Linked DNA regions of Saccharomyces cerevisiae S288C. Changing the gene in region 2 together with the main gene of any one other region gives a genetic interaction. Each region holds a gene or a part of one and is shown on either strand. Other genes may lie near its edges.

The links.
Region 1: mutations in SNO4 (region 2) and SAM2 together harm fitness more than expected from each alone (negative genetic interaction), as found in Saccharomyces cerevisiae (one large-scale study listed by BioGRID).

Annotation. Positions count from the first base shown.
Region 1 is NC_001136.10:1,447,377-1,459,540, forward strand, and holds SAM2 (methionine adenosyltransferase SAM2), read right to left. Parts: upstream 7,089-12,164; coding exon 5,934-7,088; downstream 1-5,933. Other genes in the region: LCD1 (Lcd1p), read left to right, coding at 454-2,697; 60S ribosomal protein eL37 RPL37B, read right to left, coding at 2,822-3,081, 3,471-3,477; PLM2 (Plm2p), read left to right, coding at 3,977-5,542; phosphatidate phosphatase LPP1, read right to left, coding at 7,666-8,490; SPG3 (Spg3p), read right to left, coding at 8,935-9,318; PSP1 (Psp1p), read right to left, coding at 9,319-11,844. UniProt on the Saccharomyces cerevisiae protein: Catalyzes the formation of S-adenosylmethionine from methionine and ATP. The reaction comprises two steps that are both catalyzed by the same enzyme: formation of S-adenosylmethionine (AdoMet) and triphosphate, and subsequent hydrolysis of the triphosphate.
Region 2 is NC_001145.3:912,673-922,985, forward strand, and holds SNO4 (glutathione-independent methylglyoxalase family protein), read right to left. Parts: upstream 6,408-10,313; coding exon 5,694-6,407; downstream 1-5,693. Other genes in the region: FET4 (Fet4p), read right to left, coding at 208-1,866; YMR320W (uncharacterized protein), read left to right, coding at 4,074-4,379; YMR321C (uncharacterized protein), read right to left, coding at 4,907-5,224; phosphopyruvate hydratase ERR3, read left to right, coding at 7,416-8,729; seripauperin PAU19, read left to right, coding at 9,969-10,313. UniProt on the Saccharomyces cerevisiae protein: Catalyzes the conversion of methylglyoxal (MG) to D-lactate in a single glutathione (GSH)-independent step. May play a role in detoxifying endogenously produced glyoxals. Involved in protection against reactive oxygen species (ROS).

The DNA.
Region 1 (12,164 bases), on a different chromosome or scaffold from region 2:
AGTGGTACAAACTAGGGCTAATAAAGAGGTAACGGTCGGTTCTCTACTAAGGTTCGTATTGTGTGGCACCGATGTTAAGCACTTTTAAGCGGAATAACTCGAGTGGAAATTTTATGTTTAGTTAGGTTTTACCTTGAATTTTTTTAAAAAAAAAAGAGTCAGACAGGCTCGCTCTTTCCTACTAAATATTAGGAGCAAAGCAGTAAAAAGTCTCTGAATAAGGATAGTAACCTGTAGTAACTCCAAAATTTATCTTACAAAGAGCTATTAGTATCTTGGTTCTTCTATTTTCTTCGATTATTGGTGATTTTTCCCGCCTCTAGCCAAATCCGAGCGTTCCATCGATTTTTTGGGGAAAACAGCACATGCAATAAAATAAAAAGCAAACAAATACGCGATAGTGCACGAAACGTCAACACAATCATCAAACTCTTTTGCATATTTCTATTATAGATGAGACGAGAAACGGTGGGTGAATTTTCTTCAGATGACGATGATGATATTCTTTTGGAATTAGGCACCAGGCCTCCAAGGTTTACTCAAATACCGCCATCATCAGCAGCATTACAAACACAAATTCCCACTACTTTGGAGGTTACAACGACCACATTAAACAATAAACAGAGTAAAAATGATAACCAACTGGTTAACCAACTGAATAAAGCTCAAGGTGAAGCAAGCATGCTTCGTGATAAAATAAACTTTTTGAACATTGAAAGGGAAAAGGAAAAGAATATTCAAGCCGTCAAAGTTAATGAATTGCAAGTCAAGCATCTTCAAGAGTTGGCTAAATTAAAACAAGAATTACAGAAACTGGAAGATGAGAAGAAGTTCTTACAGATGGAAGCGAGAGGAAAATCGAAAAGGGAAGTTATTACGAATGTAAAACCACCGTCAACAACATTATCAACAAACACAAACACTATAACGCCAGATTCGTCCTCAGTTGCAATCGAAGCAAAACCTCAATCACCACAATCAAAAAAACGTAAGATAAGTGATAATTTACTGAAAAAAAATATGGTTCCCCTAAACCCAAATAGGATTATTCCCGATGAAACGAGTTTATTTCTAGAGTCAATATTACTTCATCAAATAATAGGCGCTGACCTGAGCACAATAGAAATATTAAATAGATTGAAGCTTGACTACATCACAGAGTTTAAATTTAAGAATTTCGTCATTGCTAAAGGAGCCCCCATAGGGAAGTCCATAGTTTCTCTACTTTTGCGATGTAAAAAGACGTTGACCCTCGACAGGTTCATAGATACTTTGCTAGAGGATATAGCTGTTTTGATCAAGGAAATATCAGTTCATCCAAATGAATCGAAATTAGCTGTCCCATTTCTCGTTGCATTGATGTATCAGATTGTACAATTTCGTCCTAGTGCCACTCATAATTTAGCACTGAAGGATTGTTTTCTTTTTATTTGCGATTTAATAAGAATCTATCATCATGTATTGAAAGTACCGATACATGAATCAAATATGAATTTGCATGTAGAACCTCAGATTTTCCAATATGAACTGATAGACTATTTGATAATTTCGTATTCCTTTGATCTCCTAGAAGGTATATTAAGGGTACTGCAGTCGCATCCTAAGCAAACTTATATGGAATTTTTTGATGAAAATATTCTAAAATCATTTGAATTTGTCTACAAACTAGCACTAACCATTTCATACAAGCCAATGGTAAATGTAATATTTAGTGCAGTCGAGGTCGTTAATATTATCACTAGTATAATATTAAATATGGACAATTCCTCAGATCTGAAATCCTTGATAAGCGGTAGTTGGTGGAGAGATTGTATTACAAGATTATACGCTCTTTTGGAAAAGGAAATTAAGAGTGGCGACGTATATAATGAAAATGTGGATACTACAACTCTTCATATGTCGAAGTACCATGACTTTTTTGGGTTAATCCGAAATATAGGTGATAATGAATTGGGAGGATTGATATCAAAGCTGATTTATACTGACCGATTGCAAAGTGTCCCAAGGGTAATTTCTAAAGAGGATATTGGGATGGATAGCGACAAATTCACTGCCCCTATAATAGGTTACAAGATGGAAAAATGGCTTTTGAAGTTAAAAGATGAAGTTTTAAATATTTTTGAAAATTTATTAATGATCTATGGAGACGATGCGACCATAGTAAATGGAGAAATGCTCATCCACTCCTCTAAATTCTTATCCAGGGAGCAAGCGTTAATGATAGAAAGGTACGTGGGACAAGACTCCCCGAACTTGGACCTCAGATGCCATCTTATTGAACATACTTTAACCATAATATATAGGCTATGGAAAGACCATTTCAAACAATTGCGTGAAGAACAAATCAAGCAGGTAGAAAGCCAATTGATTATGTCACTATGGAGGTTTCTCGTATGCCAAACCGAAACTGTGACAGCAAACGAAAGAGAAATGAGAGATCATCGACACCTTGTAGATAGTTTGCATGATCTGACGATAAAGGATCAAGCCTCTTATTACGAAGATGCCTTTGAGGATTTACCAGAATATATCGAAGAAGAATTGAAGATGCAATTGAATAAAAGAACGGGGAGAATAATGCAAGTAAAGTACGATGAGAAATTTCAAGAAATGGCAAGAACTATTCTTGAGTCAAAATCATTCGATCTAACCACACTAGAGGAGGCCGATTCATTATATATCTCAATGGGACTGTAAGGCAACAATCAAAAGGGGAAAATGTCAACGCTTTATAGAAACCTTGTAATGCTTAATATTAACTATATATAATTTATATTATTTTCGTTTTAGGAAAGAACAAAACTTATAGATAATATCAAATTTAAGCAGAAGTAGCCTTAGCAGAACCGGTTTGGAAACCGTTCTTAAATCTTCTGGAGACATGCTTCAAATATCTCATTCTACCGGTACCAGTAGTGTGTCTTCTCTTTGCCTTGGCAGCCCAGTTGTGAGATCTAGTCTTAGCGGATGGGTAACCACAAGAGGAACAGGTCTTCTTTTGAACATGGAAAGAACGACGACCACATCTGTTACACAAGGTGTGAGATTTGTTGTGACGCTTACCGAATGAAGGAGTACCCTCTGTTTAAAATGAAAACATAAAAGTTAATTATCGTTAGTAAAACTTTGAACTAAATAAACTCTACTGCTGGATTCAGAACAACTTCATTGGCGGTCTAGATGTGTGTTGCTGTCTTACACTATTTCTTCTCACCTTTTTGTATTGACACTCAAATCTTTTTATTCGCTCTTTATGCATCCGTTATGTGCAATTTCTTATCATCAATGGCTCTGGCAACATTCATCATTCTATATTTTTAAATCTTTTGGCATAGTGAATAACGTAGGTCTTAGTTTACCTGGCCTCTCCTGGTGGAAAATTTTTTCAGTGCTTCTTTCTCATGTAATCCTCTAAATCAGACCGGATGTGATTGAACGTTGACTCATCAATTAATAATTCCTGTACATACTACCCATCTTTACTTATATATTCGTTTACCTCTTTGTTCTTTATCTACACATAGTAGTGCTTTTTGTTACCGCTTTCTATAGTAACCTATGCTTACTATTCCAGCCATGTTTCCAATCTCATCCTTCCCGCAAGTGGCAGGAAGATTCTCAGTGATAATATTAGTGGTGTACGGAGTGCTTGAAGAAAAAAAAAACTGATATAGAACCCAAAAATGTTCGGCTTTTAAAATACAAATATGTACAGGTGTTAATGTCTAAATAATGATAATCCAAACGCGATAATTTTTTTTTCGCGTTTGTTTTTGTTTCAGAAGAATAAGTAAACACTTCTGCCTCTCCCAAGAAAGTTTAATTTCTCTCCTTATTTGCCGTTTCTATCGTTACTAGCAACGGGGAACAATATATAGAAGCGTTTTTTTTTTTGGTATACTATTTACACAATATTTGCCGATTTCATTAGTCTTTTCGCTAGAAGTTTCACGACAAAATCGTCACAATTTTGGTTATGTCCCATCTCTTCCCACCATCATCACCAGTTGCTGGTAAACCTTTGGAAAGCCCACAAAAAGAACCTGGTAAGCTTGCTAATACTTCTGTATTGACCTTAGGAAGAAAACGGTATAATTACGAATTGGAAGAGTATCCTACTCCAGACCCGTCGTCTAGCATCGGAAGACAATCTTCACCAGTGAAAGATATCACTTCACGTTTAAATGAGACCAAATCTGCCTTGTCATCTCCTTCAAAGCAAGAAAAGGTGCTTGCAGGCCCTATCGAGATTGAATTAGATGCATCGGATCCCTCACGTTTAGCCATCGGTAGGAAAAAATCAGTCTGCAACATTATTTTGCCATGCAGAAAGAATATCTCTAGGCAGCACGCTTTTATTTCATACGCCGCCGACAGAAATGAAATAAAATTGGAATGTAATGGAACTAATGGGTTGTCCGTTCACTTGCCTTACTCCATGCAGTTGCATTTGGTAAAACCCTTCCCAACAAGGAACTTTTATAAACTAGTGGCAGAAGAGCCTTTGACCTCGCAAAATACTAAACAATCGCATGGAAAAACTCTTCAAAAGAACCAAAACTTCATCAGCTTTGTTTTGGCTAAAGGTGAAACTGTTACTTTCCCCTATATCCAAGGAAGTTTCATAAATTTTACAGGCGTCACAGTCTGTCTTTCATTGAAAAAAGTAGCACCTTATCCTGGCGATGGCAACAATAACTTTGACGAAGAGAACTCGACAGAAACGGAGGATGAGTTGTGTTTATTAACAACAACGAGCGATGATTTTTCTTGGCAAAAAGAAACACCTTCGATGAAATTTGTCCCAGTTGAGCATTCACCTCGTACAGAACAGATCTCAAAACCATTACTTATTGCATCTCCTGCTCTTGTGAAAAACTCCCCCATTAGTTATAGAACAACACCCCAAACATCTTTCGTTATTAATCAGCCATCAACTCCAAAGAAACTGAAGCGTAAATCAATTTCATTGAAAAATAACACTATACAAGAGACACCACTTCCTAAAGATAAAATAATTGGGACATTAAGTGCCAGTACTAGGAGTGGTGGCATTAATGAAGAAGAATCTTTCGCAGCAGTTGCAAAAAAAACTAAAGAGCTGTCTTCTACAACCGCGATTGTATCTCCTGCACAAAAACGTCTTAAGACTTCATTGAATATTATTCCCGAAATTTCTCGGTCGCTCTCAGAAAGAGGAATTCGGTTTGATGACCTAGTTCATGTGCTATGTAATCATCTTGCATTTTCTAACCTTCAACAAACGCCTTTATCCCAATTGCAAAACATCAATTCCAACACTTCACAATTAAGCAAAGATGAACTAAAAAAGGTCTTGGAGACTATTTCTTGCATTGGTATTATTGTGCGTGAAGGAAAAGATGCGTCTGGCAAGCCATTAGAAGACGAGTATTACTATGATGTTGAAAACGATGATAGCGACGAGAGAAAGATTTTGTATAATTCGTTAAAAGGCAGGAGCCGATTAAGGTCGTGCAGGAAGAAACATAAACAGTATTTCTGGAAGAGGCCGACCAAATAACCTCAAAGACATTCTATATTTCAACCTTATTTCCATAGCATAGTCATATTACCACGTGGAGCATCATGAAAAAAACTGGTAAAACTCGTCAAAAAGTTCTAAAAACATAAAGTAATATTTTCTATATATTTCCGTTGAAGGAGCTAATACATAATCCATACAAAATAGATCATTATGCCTAGATGTTATTCTATTGGTGTTTGTCAAGTTTAAGAATGTTTAAAACTTTTCTATTGTATCATTTTCTAGTAATTACATGACTCGAGTTGAGCGAATCAAACGATAAGGCATCGTCTTCTCAATATAGGGAGGTGATCGGGACCAGCCTAGCATAAAGAAAGGGATTGAAATAATTATAAAAATCAAAATAAAACATTTATTGTCTAAATGTTTAAAATTCCAATTTCTTTGGTTTTTCCCATGAGTACTCTTGATTAGTGAAGTGACCATAAGAAGCGGTTGGTAAGTAAATTGGTCTAGCCAAATCTAATTCCTTTACTAACACACCTGGTCTCAAGTCGAAGTTCTTCTTAATAATTTCAATGATTTCGTCATCTGATTTTGTAGCTGTACCATAGGTGTCCACATGTAAAGACAATGGTTCAGCAATACCAATAGCATATGAAAATTGGACTTGGACTCTCTTACACAAACCAGCGGCAACTAGAGACTTGGCAACCCATCTAGCAGCGTAAGCAGCGGAACGATCGACCTTGGAATAGTCCTTACCGGAGAAGGCACCACCACCGACGGATGAGGCACCACCGTAAGCGTCGACAATAATCTTTCTACCGGTCAAACCAGCGTCACCTTGAGGACCACCGATGACGAATCTACCGGATGGTTGGATGAAATATTTGGTATTTTCGTCTAACATATCCTTTGGTATGACCTTTTCAACAATATCTTTTTGAAGTTGAGTTCTCAAGTCAGCGGTGGAAATTTCATCAGCATGTTGAGCAGAAATAACAACGGTATCTATCCTCTTTGGAACCCATCTACCATTGTCGTCTTCGTATTCGACAGTGACTTGAGTCTTTGTGTCTGGTCTCAACCATGGGAGAGAACCATCTCTTCTAGCATCTGCCATAGCCATGTTCAATTTGTGAGCCAAAAGAATGGTCAATGGTAACCCTTCTGGAGTTTCGTCTGTAGCGTAACCAAACATTATACCTTGGTCACCAGCACCTAAGTCTTCTAAGCTCTTTTCATAGTGCAGACCTTGAGCGATATCTGGAGATTGTTGTTCGATAGCTACTAAAACATTACATGTCTTGTAGTCGAAACCCTTGGCAGAATCGTCATAACCAATCTTCTTGATGGTATCTCTTACTATTTGTTGGTAGTCAAGTCTAGCTTTGGTGGTAATTTCACCGAAAACCATAATCATACCAGTTTTGGCAGCTGTTTCACAGGCAACCTTGGAGAATGGATCTTGTTCTAAACAAGCGTCCAAAATAGCATCAGAAACTTGGTCACAAATCTTGTCTGGGTGACCTTCACCGACGGATTCAGAGGTAAATAAGAAAGTTTTGCTCTTGGACATGATTATGTTTGTATATTGTCGTAAATACTGGATATATTGAAGACAGTTATGTTTTTTAAACCTTTTAAAAAAAGAAAAAAGGGGCAGAAGCAAGATTCTCGAAAATACTTTGTAGAAAGGACAGATATAACCTCCTTCTTATACGCCTCAAGACGACAGATGACTACCAAAAAGAAATCAAGATCTCCTTGCATATGAAGATTTGACGTCGTTTACAAGAGCTATCTCAGAAATTTCATCGGTATTTTGGCTTCGGTTAATATCTGGCGTGGACCCATCGGTGGAAAAACGCCACAGTTTTCAAGCTCAATTATAGTCACGTGGGTAGAAATATTACACTGCACCGCAAGAAAGTACGACCAGATGAATCACATGTGAAGATGTTAACAAGTTTACATACTTTTTGATCAGGTAAGCTATGCATAATGTCTTAGTTTTAGTTATGTAAAGAAATGCAAACTTTTAGTGCATATTTTATCTTATATAATAGAGCAAAGCTCGCCAGTGCTCCAGTTGTTACCTGAGAATGAAGCTTGATCGGCTTTTATTCTTTCCTGATAGGACTCTGTAAGTGTTACTAAACACTAACCGGTGAAGGAAGTATGTCTCTTTTCGCCAAGTTTGTAAATGTCCATTTCCAGCAACAATAAATGACTAAAAATGCTAGAACAGCTCCAGAGACAACATCGTACCAATGATGTCTGTGATCGATAACCCTTGAAACCATTACTACTAGAGCTAATAAAGGGCACCAAATGCAACTTCTTGTATTGCGTGTGGTGAAAACCCTTTGCCAAAGATATGTAAAGCCCATGGTACTGACTATGAAACTTGAATGTCCGCTTGGAGTGCTTTTTAAGCCTTCGTATAGAATCCATTTGTTAGTCTGCTTGCAAATGTCCAAGCCAAAAACCAAAGAATCTGAATCACTCATCTTTTGGAGGTCAGGTATACATCTATCAACAAAGTCAGGCCTCAAGTTTCCTATAATCAACTTTAAGGCGCCTGTTAGGGCAGCATTTATGCTTATAATCAGCATCAGACATAGAATGCTAGTATGCATGAAGTGAAAATCGTTCGAGATTCCGTCCGGCCTCTCTCTTAGTCTCTTTACTCTATTCTTCTTCAGTAAGTCCTTGTCAAACATGCAGGTCCAGAAGACGACCATGTTACTCAGTCCAACACTCAAAATCAAACATTCTAGTGGGCCCACGAGTTCGTTAGGTACATAACGTTTTGATATACTGGGGTCATCAAGACTAAATTCGATGTTTTGGCCCCTAGGTACCAGGGATATCTCCGAATAGAGGAATAATATCGTACATAGACCAATTATCATGTACTGAAAGTAGTATAGCTTAAAATACTCCTTATGTTTCTCATCCGCCATGACAGAGATCATCCTTGGTAGAATATGACGAGTTTCCTTAGGCGTTGATGTAGGAGTTTCTCACTCTTGAAAGCAGTAAAATCACTTCAAAGAATGGCTTTCTTTCTTCCCTTAAAGACTATAAGTTGTCAGGTTTCACGTGGCAACTACAAGAAAAAAAATTCTTACGCGTGAACCAAAACAAAAATTATCAACCAATACATGTCGACAAATAATGAATTAGAGCAATAGCCACGATAACAGACCTTGATTAAATGTAAACTACATATAAGTTTATAAGGGTTGGTTGATTCCATTATTTTTTGTTTTTTATATAAAGCCTATGAAAAATAAATGGAAGCGGCTGTTAGAATATAAAATAGAAGTTGAAACAACAAAAATGTAAGAAAGTTGCCAACAATAAATCTCAAACTTGAAAGTGTGGATCGAGGAATATGGACAATCTTTAAAAAATTTTTAGTCCCGTAGTTTTTCGAATTTTTCCTTACCAGTGACCATGAAACCATGATTGGGAGACGTATAAGTAATTTTTATCAAAGTTAAACAGAATAATGAACATTTTCTTCTATTTCTCCCTGTGAAGTTTTCATATAGAAAAAAACATAAGGGAAAGAAAATATTGATAATAGAAAGATAGTACCAAATTGAATTGGCAGGAAAATAGGTAAACAACGAACAGAAACGATAAAACAAAATAACATAAAAAAAGTAGACAAAAATAAAAACAAAAACAAAAACAAACAAAAACAAAAACAATGAAAAAATGTTAACAAAATAATGGCAAATGGTTGTCTTTTCTTTTAGAAAATTTATAGTTACAACAAGGAAATAACAGATCATTTAATGAAATAATTCGTGAACTAATTCTTCATACACAGCAATCTGAAAGTTGTCGAGTTCAATTTCGTTCAACGGAGGTGCAAAATTAACTCTGTTATTCCCCCTGTTCTGCGAAAACTCATTGACATTCATTAAATCTTCAGCATTGTAATTTTTTACTATGTTTTGATATAATTTCAGCTCTTTTTGTTGTTTATCATAATACTTAGAATCAATAGACAGATTATTCGGGATGGCACACAACCAAATTCTTGTCTTGTAATATTTGAACAGCTCTTTTATCAAGTCTCTAAAATCATTTCTCTCCTCACAAACGTAGTAAAACGTTAATTTCTTTCTATCAAATTGGAATTCTGCGTTTAAAATCTTGATATTCAATTTAGGCTTTGAATAAGTTGCAGCATTCGTAAAATTATTGGAAGAACTGTCATTTGTATTTTGAGATTTTGAATTATCATTTAACGCTTGTAATTTACTCTGAGCAATATGCAAGGCTTTTAATTCATCTTCAAATTTATTGTGCAAATTCGTTGTTACCTCCCACGGGGTGGCAAAACGTAAGACTTGTTTAGATGGTATGATTAACTCAGTTAATTCAACAACATCATACAATTTGGGATTTAATTTTTTCTTTTGCCCATTTTTTGAGTCAATCAACATTTGAATAAACTCATCATTGCGATAGTGCTGTGACTCACTTGTAATTAAAGAGTCAAAGTGAATTTTCTTTTTCAGAAAATTTATAAATAATGCTAAATTCAAATCGACAGAGGGCTCAACAACCAATACTAAATCCCTTCCACGGTCACCATCAATAATAACCAAGTCACCTCTCTTTAACAACAAATTGGTAGCTTGTGGAGTAGATAGTAGTTCAAGTTTCCCATTTTTCAAAGCAACCAGTACCAATGGTGTATAAGGTAAAAAGGAGTTATTAGCATTCCTGCATGATAGTTCTGTTGTGAAAGAGCCCTTCCTCCTATTTTTATTGCCTCCATTATTGGAAACAATTCCATTATTCGACTCTGGATCATTAACGTAATTCATGTTGCAACTTCTTAAAATGTCCAAGAAATTTAATAAAGATTGGTATGTATTACCTTCTTCATCGATTAAGCCCATGTTCTTCGCGTCGTAACTTTCATTAGAATCGTGCAACTTCAGCATTTTCTTAATATTATCTGTGAATTCAAAAACTGCAGAGCTAGCAAAATAGCCGCTGCCACAGTCGCTGTATAAATCGTGTAAGGTTTTGGACGAAGTCAAGTGTTTACCCTGAATTAAAACTAAACCATTGTCCAAAGATACATTTCCTTCATTGCTGTTCTCGTTCTGAAGGTTATGTGAGTTTGTAGAAGAAGGGACAGAACTGCTTCTTTGAAGTTGAACAAGCTGAACATCATCAACACGTTCGCCATTGAAAGAAGTAGGTACATTAACGTTTCTTGGTTGTTGTGGTTGTTGTGGTTGTTGCTGTTGTTGTTGAAAAGTAGGAAGGGATGGATTGAAGCTCGCTACCGGTTGTGTATTCCGGCGAAACTGTTGCATTGGAACCATATTGTGACTGTTGTTGTTGTTATTACTATTGCTGATACTGGCATTATTAGGCTCGTTATCATAAGGATACGGAGGTTGTACACCATTTCCAAACTCGGGCACACCTTTGGCGGTCAAATGGGTTGAGTTCAAGTTGTCATAGTTGAATCTGCTATTGAAAAGATTGAAACCTTGAGCGTGTTGCTGCTGCACTTGGGATGTTTGCTTTTGCCGAGCGTCAGGCATTTGATGGTTGATTAGAGTATCTGATATGTAGGAGGATCTCCTAATGGTAGACTCTGGATGAGATGGCTGTTGCCAATTAAATGATGGTACTTGTTGGTTGTTCATACTAGATGGGTTGCCAGCACTGTGTGATGGGGCAGCAAAATTGCTGCCGCTATTGGAAGTAAAACCTATGTTTGTTTTATTCATTAAACGCATGTAGTCTGAATCCATCCGATTCCCCATTAGGTCGTTTCCATTTGAATGAAATGAATTTCCATTAAATTGCGGGAACGACCGTTGTTGAGCTTGATAATTACCCATTTGAGTAGAGTTTAAATTATTGTTATTGGATGAAATGGGCGGTGCGGACATCGGCTCTGAATTAGACGAAGACATTTGAAAAGAGGTCAAATTACTGGAAGGGTGTTCTTGAATGAACCCGTTCTGGTGAGAAAACGGTTGCTGTTGTTGATTTGGCACTGGTGGCAAATACGGAAACCTACCCATAAAATCAATATCGTCAAAAGTCCTCCTGTTTTCCATACCATTTCCCGCACTTTTTATTGAGTTTCTCAAATTATTCAGGCCAGCAAGCGGATCAACCGTATCACTTCCTGAATTATTGGAGTTATCATTCAGTTTACGGGGTAAATCGGATAGCGATTTTCCGCTGTTATTCTTGAAAAGCAAGTCCTCATAGTAGTTCTTTAAATCCACATTGTCGGAAATGCTTGTTGTGCTATTAACAGTTGGGAGGTCCATTTTGCAACTGTATTTCTATTGAGCACTGTATCAGACACCGCTTTTTTTGATTTATCCTTCGTTTTTTTCTCTATAATTCTCTTGAGCCTTTCAATACACTTTATTCTTTTCTATATACGCTGTTTACTATATCAAAGAACACTCGAACTGATGCTATCTCTGTTTCTAACTGCCGAACCAATGAAAAATACAGCTCTTAATTATCAGTGAATCCTTCTTCTTATCCTTTATTTATTTTTGTTTTGTTCCTTTAGCTAAAACACGGATCCGTAATGTTATCCAACACGATTAGGGGAAGGATTCGTCTCCAAAAAACCGTT
Region 2 (10,313 bases):
TTTATTATCTATTATATATCATTTTAAATGGTTTAGGCTCCCAGAGAAAAAAGCAAAACTCAGGTGAGGTATATGTACAAACTAAATAAAAGTTCTAAGGTCGATCGCTACCTCCGTATAGAAATTCCTAAAATCCCTAAGGAAAATTAACTCCCTCATAAGTAACATGAGGAATTCTTCCCACTAATGCTAAAATGTTCAATGAAGCTATTTTTCCAACATCATAACCTCTGGGAAACGCTTTTCTACGTATGATAGAAGTATGCGCCTACGTGCGTACAAAGCGGTAACCTCCACTCTTCTTTGACGATCGGCCCAATTATGTGCTTGCAACAAAACTAGCAAGAAAAATTCTTCGATAATCATAGTTGGCGTGTTAGCAATCAATTGACCTGTTGTACTCCAACGCAAACCGGAAGCAATACAAATTAAACCAATGATGATGATGACGGATACAAGAACACTCCATGGAGTTGAGCAGATCCTATTAATATATTGGGATGTTCTGTAACCAATAGTGTTAATTTCAGGAGCTTTACCACTAAATTCTTCGGGACATTCAATACCTAATTCTTGGAATAATTCAAGGTCTTCTTTAGCCACATCAGAATAATTTTTCTCTTCATGTTGAACGATTCGGAAGTACACTTCTCTCAAAACGAAACCGTCCAAAAACCCAATTAAACCTGTGTATGTACCGATAATCAACCACCAATTATCATCCCACTTCATTGGCGAACCAATACCAATCCATGTGGCGAACACTGCCACACCAATCAGGACACCAATACCAGTACCAATAATATCAGCATACCAATCAATCATCTTTCTCCCTGTCGACCTTTTTTTAGATTCAATAGTAACAACTGGGTGAGGTGTTTCAAAATCGTTAAAATGCTTTCTTATACGATAGTCGATTTTCTCGTCCATATCAAAGATATCAACTAAAAACCTCCCCGTGAAATAATCATGTCTAGCCCTTATATTTTGTAAGAAAGTAGTGCAAATTAGAAGGGAAACTGCAACTGCAGTGTTAATATACATCTGCCAAGCGTCACTGAACTTTTTCAATCTTGGATTACTACCTGTAGTTTCTCCGGTGTAAGGTGGAGTGTTGCCCGCATCTTTTGGGATAGCACCGCAACCAATCCAAACGAAAATACCTATCCAAAATATCACCATTGCTGCAATTGAACCCATATACCTACTTGCTACGTTAGATAAACGGTCGTACCAATTTTCCACAGGCAGTTCTCCGTTAATGGCAGATGGGTCTATATGATTTTCAACAGAGCTGACTTCATTAGCTTCAACTGTGCAGTCTGCTTTTTCTTCCTCTGGGGTGCTTCTTGTTAGATAGTTTTTGAAGGAAGCCAATCTCGACTTCAATCTACCGCAGATCAAAATTTGTTCATGCGTACTCATCAACTGTTGTCTCATCAACAGTGTGTCCCAAACATAACTTTGAATAGACTGTCCGTCCTGCATAACAACTTGCCAATTGAAAGGTGCGTTATAAACAATACCAATAACCACCCAAATTATGAGGATGATCCAAACAATAAAAAAAACCGCCTGCGAACCGGCCACTCGTACCAGGAAATCCAGGGTCTTATCTGTGAAACCTTTGCTTAACCCGGTAAAACCTTTACTCGTGAAGATTGCCCCTGTTTCTGTTAAATTCACATTACAAAGTTCGTCATCAGTACTCTCATCGCTATGGCTGACTACTCTGACCACATCATCATTTTTGTAATCGTTAGAATCACCGAATTCTTCGTACTGTTTGCAGTCAACAGTAGGTGCTCTATGATGAACGTCAGGCCTAGCACCTGGATTCCCGAGAAACTCTGCAATTTTACCCATAATTTGATTAACGAATGTTTAATAATAAGGGTCTTATTAGGTTTCTATATCTACCTTTTCCCTTCTTATATCTGATACTGTTTGACTTATGATAAAAGAAACTTACTTACCTATCAATTAATTCATGCCGTGTGAAGTATATTTATATAAACAAGTATTTCTAAATGAAGAGCATCGAATCAAGATGTGGTAGATGCTAAACTAATGGGTGCAATTAAGAAGGCTTCTACCAAGCAAGTTCAAGGCCAGTAGCATTATATAGTTTTTTTGTCTTTATTTTTTTTTTTGGTTTTTTTTTTTTTCGTTTGAGAAAAATGCTGCTTCCTAAAAAGACTCAGCAAAAATGCTCATGACCTAATCAGTTTCGAGAGCAACCCCACGGGTAGGAAAGAAAGAGGCGCCAACGTTAAAGGAAACTGCCCATATCTAATACATAACCGCACAAGCTCCAAGCTCATTCAACACCTGTGTGATTTACGCCCCAATAAGGCTCAAGATTCCTCAATATTTTGTCGTTGTTCGAGCCATGAAAACCTCAAATTACTGCTACAGGACCCTAGGGTCTCGCTAAAAAAATGACTACGCGCGCTTATATAATTACTCGAATAAGACAAAAGAAAAAAACCCTTGCGATATGTCGTAGACACGTAAAAATGGCCCATTTAGTGGTAGTCGCAAACTAGAGGGGTAAAAATAACCTGTCCAGTACTGAAAGTAATGCTAGGGAAATGCGAATGACCGTACGTACACCTTCGTACATGCAGGTATTTAGGGGGCTTATTGTTTATGAACAATAGCACTATGCCAGGTCAAACATATCATGTTCGCGCAGTCTCCTCGTGGGATATATAAAGTGAACAAAAAGTGCACCCGGTTTTCGGAACAACGCTCTTCGCAACAAGGCAAAAAAGAAAAATGGGACAACGTAATCGGAGAATACCCAAAGGACATTATAATCCAATCAACGTAGTAGTACGTATGGTTAGAACAGCAAGCACAGATATTTGCTCATATGCAAGGAAACTGGTGTGATTAGAATGCCTTAAACATGAGTCCAATGTATGCGAATAAGATGCTACGTTGAATAAGCAGATCAAAGAACTTTTGGTAGGAAAAGCTTCTTTTTTTAAAAGCGCACGTTTCTTTTTCTTTGTTGGACCTTCCATCAAAATCCTTAATACGTGCAGCGAAGCAGCAACGCATTGACAGTTCATACAGGAAAGAGGAACAAATATTTTGAGCTGCTTGTCCCAGGAATCTAGGTGCTTACGTATCTTTTATTTTATTTAAATGTATGATCTTACCCACGATAATGGTCTTAGTACTTTAGTTTGGCAATGATGGAACCGGAGGACAACGGACAAAAGTTAGGGTATCTTTACTCTGTCACTGCGTATTTTTTGAAATACACTATTTTTACAAGGAGTTAAGCATAACAAGCACGTGCTGCAGATGTTTTCATTTAGTGAGTGAAGATCTTTATTCAAGTAATTCATCTTCATCCGTATAACTTCTTAGTAAAGCGACAAGGTCTGATGGCCGAATTTTTTTAATTTTGGCCATCGTATTAAAATGAACACTCTAAAGCCGAAATGAGAAAGATCTCGCTAATAGTAGGTTAGGACTCAATGGCTAGGTTATATTTTTGCCTTCGTGAGAGTAATTTACGTCGAGTAATGTCGCCTGACATCCATATCCCTTTGTTATTCTTCATTAAATGTCACTACAAATTCTGTCCTTACTGAAGTAAAGAATATTTGAAAATACTACACTGATCTTTAATTACTGATCTACAATAACACACAGTGTTGAAGGATAATTCCAAGACTCTCACCTGCGACTGGTCGTGTTAGGAAACCAAACTGAAATATGCTAAATTTCGAGTGAAACCTACCGGAATCGGTACATCTCCAGAGGATTTTAAGTGAAGATTTAACATCGTATAACAAGCATGCATAACTTGTCACTGGGATAAAGAGAAGGTACTAAATTTTCGTAGGCGACAATTTTCCATCTCATAGAGTACTCGAAGAAAAACATAAACACTATTAAAAATAGCTCCTAGTAAAGGCTTTTTGGATTCTAATTCAAGTTTACAAATACCTACCAACAACATTCTTGATATTGTAATCTGCTCTGAAGTAGATACCCTAACGGGATTGTTAAGTCAGGGAGCAGCGTAACGACATTCACGAAAAGCTCTAAAAATGCGTAGATTTGGAAAGCCATGTATTGTTTCACATGAAATTTCGGCCAGGCCTCACATATTACAGCCTTGTAATTATAAGATGGTGCTGAGTTGTAAGGTAAAAAAACCCATTGAGTTATTGCACCTTCAAGAGTTAATACTTTACACTTTTATGAAAATTTGCCTTCACGTAAACTTGATCCAGCAAAACATCAATAAGTTGTCATATATTTCTCGAAAATATCCAAGGGCACCTGCTTTTATCAGCTGCGACAATAGAGCCACGGAGCCAACAAAAAAAGGCTTTTTAGTTTGCCGCATGTAATGATTGGCGAATAATTTTTCAAGGTTATGATTGTTCTTGGGAACACAGATCACGGAATCCTTTTGCCAATAATACATTAGATGGAATATTTGGATACAACTTTCGAATATAACGCCTTTTGAGCTAGCAATATCGACTGTATGGGAATATAAAAGTTAATTTTAGGCAATTTAATTAATCGTGACTGGTCGGAGAAGGCGAGATTGTAGCTCCACCATGTGAGGATTATTGGCAAAGGTTTAGATCCGGTGGAGATTTATCTTCTTTTACCCCATCTTACTTGTGCACTCTCCCAAATTCCCATCTGATGAACTGTTAGTTGATTCCTTTAGATTATAAAACATATGATGTTTACTCTGTTTTTTGTCGGCGAAGTACGGAAAAGCATTTGTGACTCTAAAAAAACATGGCAAGGATAATTAATTAACAATACTTCTTGTGCTGTTTATAAAATGTATTTAGTGTAACATGCTGCTTCCTAGCATATGTATAATGTTAAGAATTTTCCAGTTTCTTTAAAAAGGCATTTACGTGTATTTCTTGACGGCTGCAGAAATCTCTTGGATGTCTTTTGGACTTGTTCTGCAACAACCACCAATGATACGGGCACCGCTGCTAATGTACTGTTTAACAACCGTATCCCAACTGTTCAGCTTATCGCTATTTGGCAACCATATCTTCTTTTCAGTATCATAAACTTCACCACTGTTTGGATAAGCAAGCAAGGCCATATTTGGCAGTGCTTGATGTAGAGACTCAAGAATGTCGGGTGATTGGTTGAAGCTGACGCAGTTGATTCCTAAGAACGAGAGGTTAGGATTTATTTTGTCGCCCAAGTCCATCATCTATTTACTACGAAACGATAAATTTCCCCGTTTTCTTTTACTTTTACTTCATTTAATATAATTCATATTTATTTCCCATGTACCAATTAATTACTCCTAAAAGAACAGAAATAGAAAAAAGTTGTATATAACAAGCCAAAAAAAAAAAAGAAAAAAGGAAACACAGCTTATTTCAAATTGCAATCTGCGTATTTCGTAAGTAACGAATGATCTCACAGCATTGCTTTTTTTTTTTTTTTTTTTATATATATGTACATTACCTATGTCACATATGACCATGATGAGTACAACACTAAAAACCAAGGCCTACTATTCAATTGTTCTCTATATGATTTCCATTCTAGCAAAATCGAGTGCTACCGATCTGCCGTTTTCTTTACCTTTCGAACCATTGAGCTGTTAGCCTTCTCTTCACAGAAACTGAAGGCCATTAGAAGCCTCCCCTTCAACAATTCCCTTGTCTTTTGTTTCAGCTATATAATGCGTTTATAGCTCTAATTGTGGTCGAATAGGAAGAATTTGCGTTAACACCCGTAACTAGCTTTCCATCGGTAATAGAGTAGTCATCCCAGGGATGAATTGGCGCCAAGTACTTGGCTCTATTCTTGTTTGCAACGCGTTCAACCGTTGTCAATTTTCTGCTCCTCAAGATGTCGTCAACTCCCAGGGCGATTTCACCCTCGAGTGGGAAACCTGTTATAGCTTTGCCTTCGATTAATGGTCTTGTTGTTTTGATATCTATTAATCCATCGAAAAGGAGCGGTCCATGACAGATGGCGGCGATCACACCCCCATTGGCATATATCTTGGATGCAATATCTTGCAGATTTTTAGCTTTGGGATAGTCAAATAGAGCACCATGTCCAGCAGATGCAAAGAATATTTTATAGTCGCTGGCGTTGACTTCATTTGCGGTCTTGATCCTCGCTAACGCCTTATTGAAGGCGGAATTTTTCGTTTCAAAGTTCATCTTATCTTCGCCACCAATAAAGCTCTTTGGCAAGTAATGTTCATCCCAGCCAAATCCACCAGTCTCAGAAACGAAGTCCACTTCGAAACCATGCTTTTCGAAAGTATCGAACGACCGCAAAATCTCAACTACAAAAACGCCTGTTTTCGCACCATCTTTATAGAAGGGACCGTGGTATGAAGTAAGAGATATTAGCGCTCTTTTTGGAGTCATTGCAAGGCCAGTTTTCTTTTTGAATGAAGGAGAAAAGTGTTCTAGAAATATGTTTTAGTTCTAAGTATCGTTGTCTGGAGCAAGCAAAGAAAAGCAGACCTGTATGTGCAACTTTCTTGTTTTCCATTAAAATCTCAAGAACCGGCCCCTTGACTGTGCTCATATATCAAGTATCGGTTTTAAAGTCCCCTAATTGTGATAATTGCAAGAATGACAGTCAAAAAGATATTTTTCTTTTCTTTCTTTTTACCTATCCTTCATGAAAATACCTATGCTGATACTGAATATCTTCATTTGCAGCTATGCAATATTTCAGATACTGCATTTTACCCAAGAGTTTCTTTACTGGTGGTTGGATTTTTTTTAAGACGAGAAGATTACCAGTCCTGGATGTTCATGAATGTGCCTATTGCGTCATCAGCGACTCCGCGCCAAGAAAAGAAATACTCGCATGCTCGGATTTATAGAATCGCATAATGGAAATAGCTTCCTTAAAGGATGGAGATAAGGAAAAAATGACAAGAACAAGGAAGTACTTGGGAGCTTTCTCCGACATGTTAAATATTTGAAACTCACGCAGCTCTCCTGGAAAGTTGCATCTGGAAAGGTAAGGTTGTTTTTTGTTCAGACATCAAAATCGGCTCTTGTAGACAATGTCACAGATCCACAAGTTGAAAAAAAAGTTTCGATGAACTGGATAAGGGGAGAGGTCACAAACAAAGTGTAGGGGGTGAGTAGTATAGTGGTAACTTGTTCATTTACCTAAATAACATTCTCACTAGAAAAGAGATATTGAAAGACTCCTCGTTTACCTAACTTGGCTGGTTCTTAGGTATATAATAGAAACATGGATCTGGCAGGTTATTACTTACAGTTTGCATTCCCACCAGGTAACAATTTTCATTATATATAGTTATTTTTTACCACCACTTCTTCTTCTTTCACTTTGTCTTGCAATAGAAATACCAAAACAAGGTGAGGAAAAAATCGAATCTCAACGATAAAAATATGTCCATCACGAAGGTACATGCTAGAACGGTGTATGATTCTCGCGGTAATCCGACTGTTGAGGTTGAAATTACAACAGAGAATGGTCTCTTCAGAGCGATCGTCCCATCTGGTGCCTCCACCGGCATTCACGAAGCTGTTGAACTTAGAGACGGGAACAAGTCCGAATGGATGGGAAAAGGGGTGACCAAGGCAGTCAGTAACGTCAATAGTATCATAGGGCCTGCTTTAATCAAGTCCGACTTATGTGTAACCAATCAGAAGGGCATAGACGAGCTCATGATATCGTTAGACGGAACTTCTAACAAGTCAAGGTTGGGCGCCAATGCTATCCTTGGTGTTTCCTTGTGCGTTGCTCGAGCTGCTGCCGCACAAAAGGGAATTACTCTCTACAAGTATATAGCCGAGTTAGCGGATGCTAGACAGGACCCCTTTGTTATTCCTGTTCCTTTTTTCAATGTTTTGAATGGTGGAGCCCACGCCGGTGGCTCTTTAGCTATGCAAGAATTCAAGATCGCGCCAGTCGGGGCTCAGAGCTTTGCAGAAGCCATGAGGATGGGTTCGGAGGTTTACCATCATTTGAAGATATTGGCGAAGGAGCAATATGGACCTTCCGCTGGAAATGTTGGTGACGAGGGTGGAGTCGCCCCCGATATCGACACTGCCGAGGACGCCTTGGACATGATTGTGAAAGCCATTAACATATGCGGTTACGAGGGTAGAGTGAAAGTAGGAATCGATAGTGCTCCTTCTGTTTTTTATAAGGACGGGAAATACGACCTAAATTTCAAGGAACCGAACTCTGACCCATCTCACTGGCTCAGTCCAGCTCAGTTAGCAGAATATTATCATTCATTGCTAAAGAAATACCCAATCATTTCCCTGGAAGACCCCTACGCCGAAGATGATTGGTCCTCGTGGTCTGCCTTCCTAAAGACTGTCAATGTTCAGATAATTGCAGATGACCTGACATGCACCAACAAGACCAGGATCGCCCGTGCTATAGAGGAGAAATGTGCGAATACTCTGTTGCTGAAACTCAACCAGATCGGTACTCTGACTGAGTCTATTGAAGCCGCCAATCAGGCTTTCGATGCTGGATGGGGTGTAATGATATCACATAGATCAGGTGAAACCGAAGATCCGTTTATCGCTGATTTGGTCGTTGGTTTAAGATGTGGTCAAATTAAATCGGGCGCTTTGTCGAGATCAGAAAGACTGGCCAAGTATAATGAACTTTTGCGTATCGAAGAGGAACTGGGGGACGATTGTATATATGCTGGTCATAGGTTTCATGATGGAAACAAACTATAAAGGATTGTCTTGTTTCCTTTTTTTTTTTTTTGTTTTTTTATGACTAAATAAAGTAAATCATATGAGGTTTTATTTTTTATTTCGTTGATTTGGGTTACAGTATGGAAATGGGGCATTTGACACAAGTTATTTTATTCATATGTTTTATCTTGTAGGAAATCAAACCGTTTTTAAAGTTTTCCATTGCCTACACACAAAATCATTACGAATCTGTCTGAACAAGGGTGGACGTGTGGGGGAAGGCTGTTCCAATCAAGAAATGCTTACAACTCTACTAACACTGCAGTTTTTCAGCTTTCTGATTAATCTCTTCGGTTTAAATTTTTTAGCAGCTATTACTTTCTAGTAACCCTTATAACGCGGTTGGTATCAAATCTTCCTGATAGTACAAGCAGACCTTTGACCCCATTCTTGTTGTGTCTTGAAATCTTTTTTTCTGACAAAAGTAAGAAGTTACACCATAATAGAGAAGTTAAATAATGAAAGTGTATCGATCATAGAAATGATTTCATTTTTTTCAACTACTGTTACGGTCAAGAAACTAATAATGAGGATAAGTTTTCGCAACAATGATTTTGGTGCAAGTGATTTAAAGTCTTGAATTACTTCAACACAATTTGCTTTGCGACGGTTTAGAATAACGTAATCGTATCAGCGAATCCACTAGGCGCGCGTAAAAATTACAGACTCTAACAATATACGACTCCCAGCACATATCTACTATTCTGTACAATTCCGGGAAATAGAGGGTACAGTATTATTTTTTCTCGGCGATCGTTTAGGGTATACTGGAGATAGGCTTAGCAATACGCTTCTGAACGAGGATCTATAGCAACTAAATTCAGACATTCTGCTACACCAAAAATGGAAGTATCACAGGAACGGAAAAGGGTTTTATAAGGCACCTCGGCACCCCTATAACTGGCATTCTCACATTCGGCGCATACGAATAGACAAAGGCCCCAGAAAACAATACCTTCGCATACAGAATCTATAAAGATGCATGCCTCGTTTAAAAACAAGAACATCTTCATAGTGATCATGAAATTGTGTGAAAGATGAGATATGTAATGCGTGAGGTACTAAATGAGGATATGTTAACGAATCGTTTAAGTGGTGATGACCAATGAAGGAATAGGTATAAATAGAGATACTTCAACTATATGCCTTTGAGAATATGTCTTTATTCCTTCCCTTCCTGTTAAGCTTATATCAGCACTAACAAACAAAACAAATACAATGGTCAAATTAACTTCAATCGCTGCCGGTGTTGCCGCCATCGCTGCCGGTGTTGCCGCTGCTCCAGCCACTACCACTCTATCTCCATCTGACGAAAGAGTCAACTTGGTCGAATTGGGTGTTTACGTCTCCGATATCAGAGCTCATTTGGCTCAATACTACTTGTTTCAAGCAGCTCATCCAACTGAGACCTACCCAGTTGAGATTGCTGAAGCTGTTTTCAACTATGGTGACTTCACCACCATGTTGACTGGTATTCCAGCTGAACAAGTCACCAGAGTCATCACTGGTGTCCCATGGTACTCCACTAGATTGAGACCAGCTATTTCCAGTGCTCTATCTAAG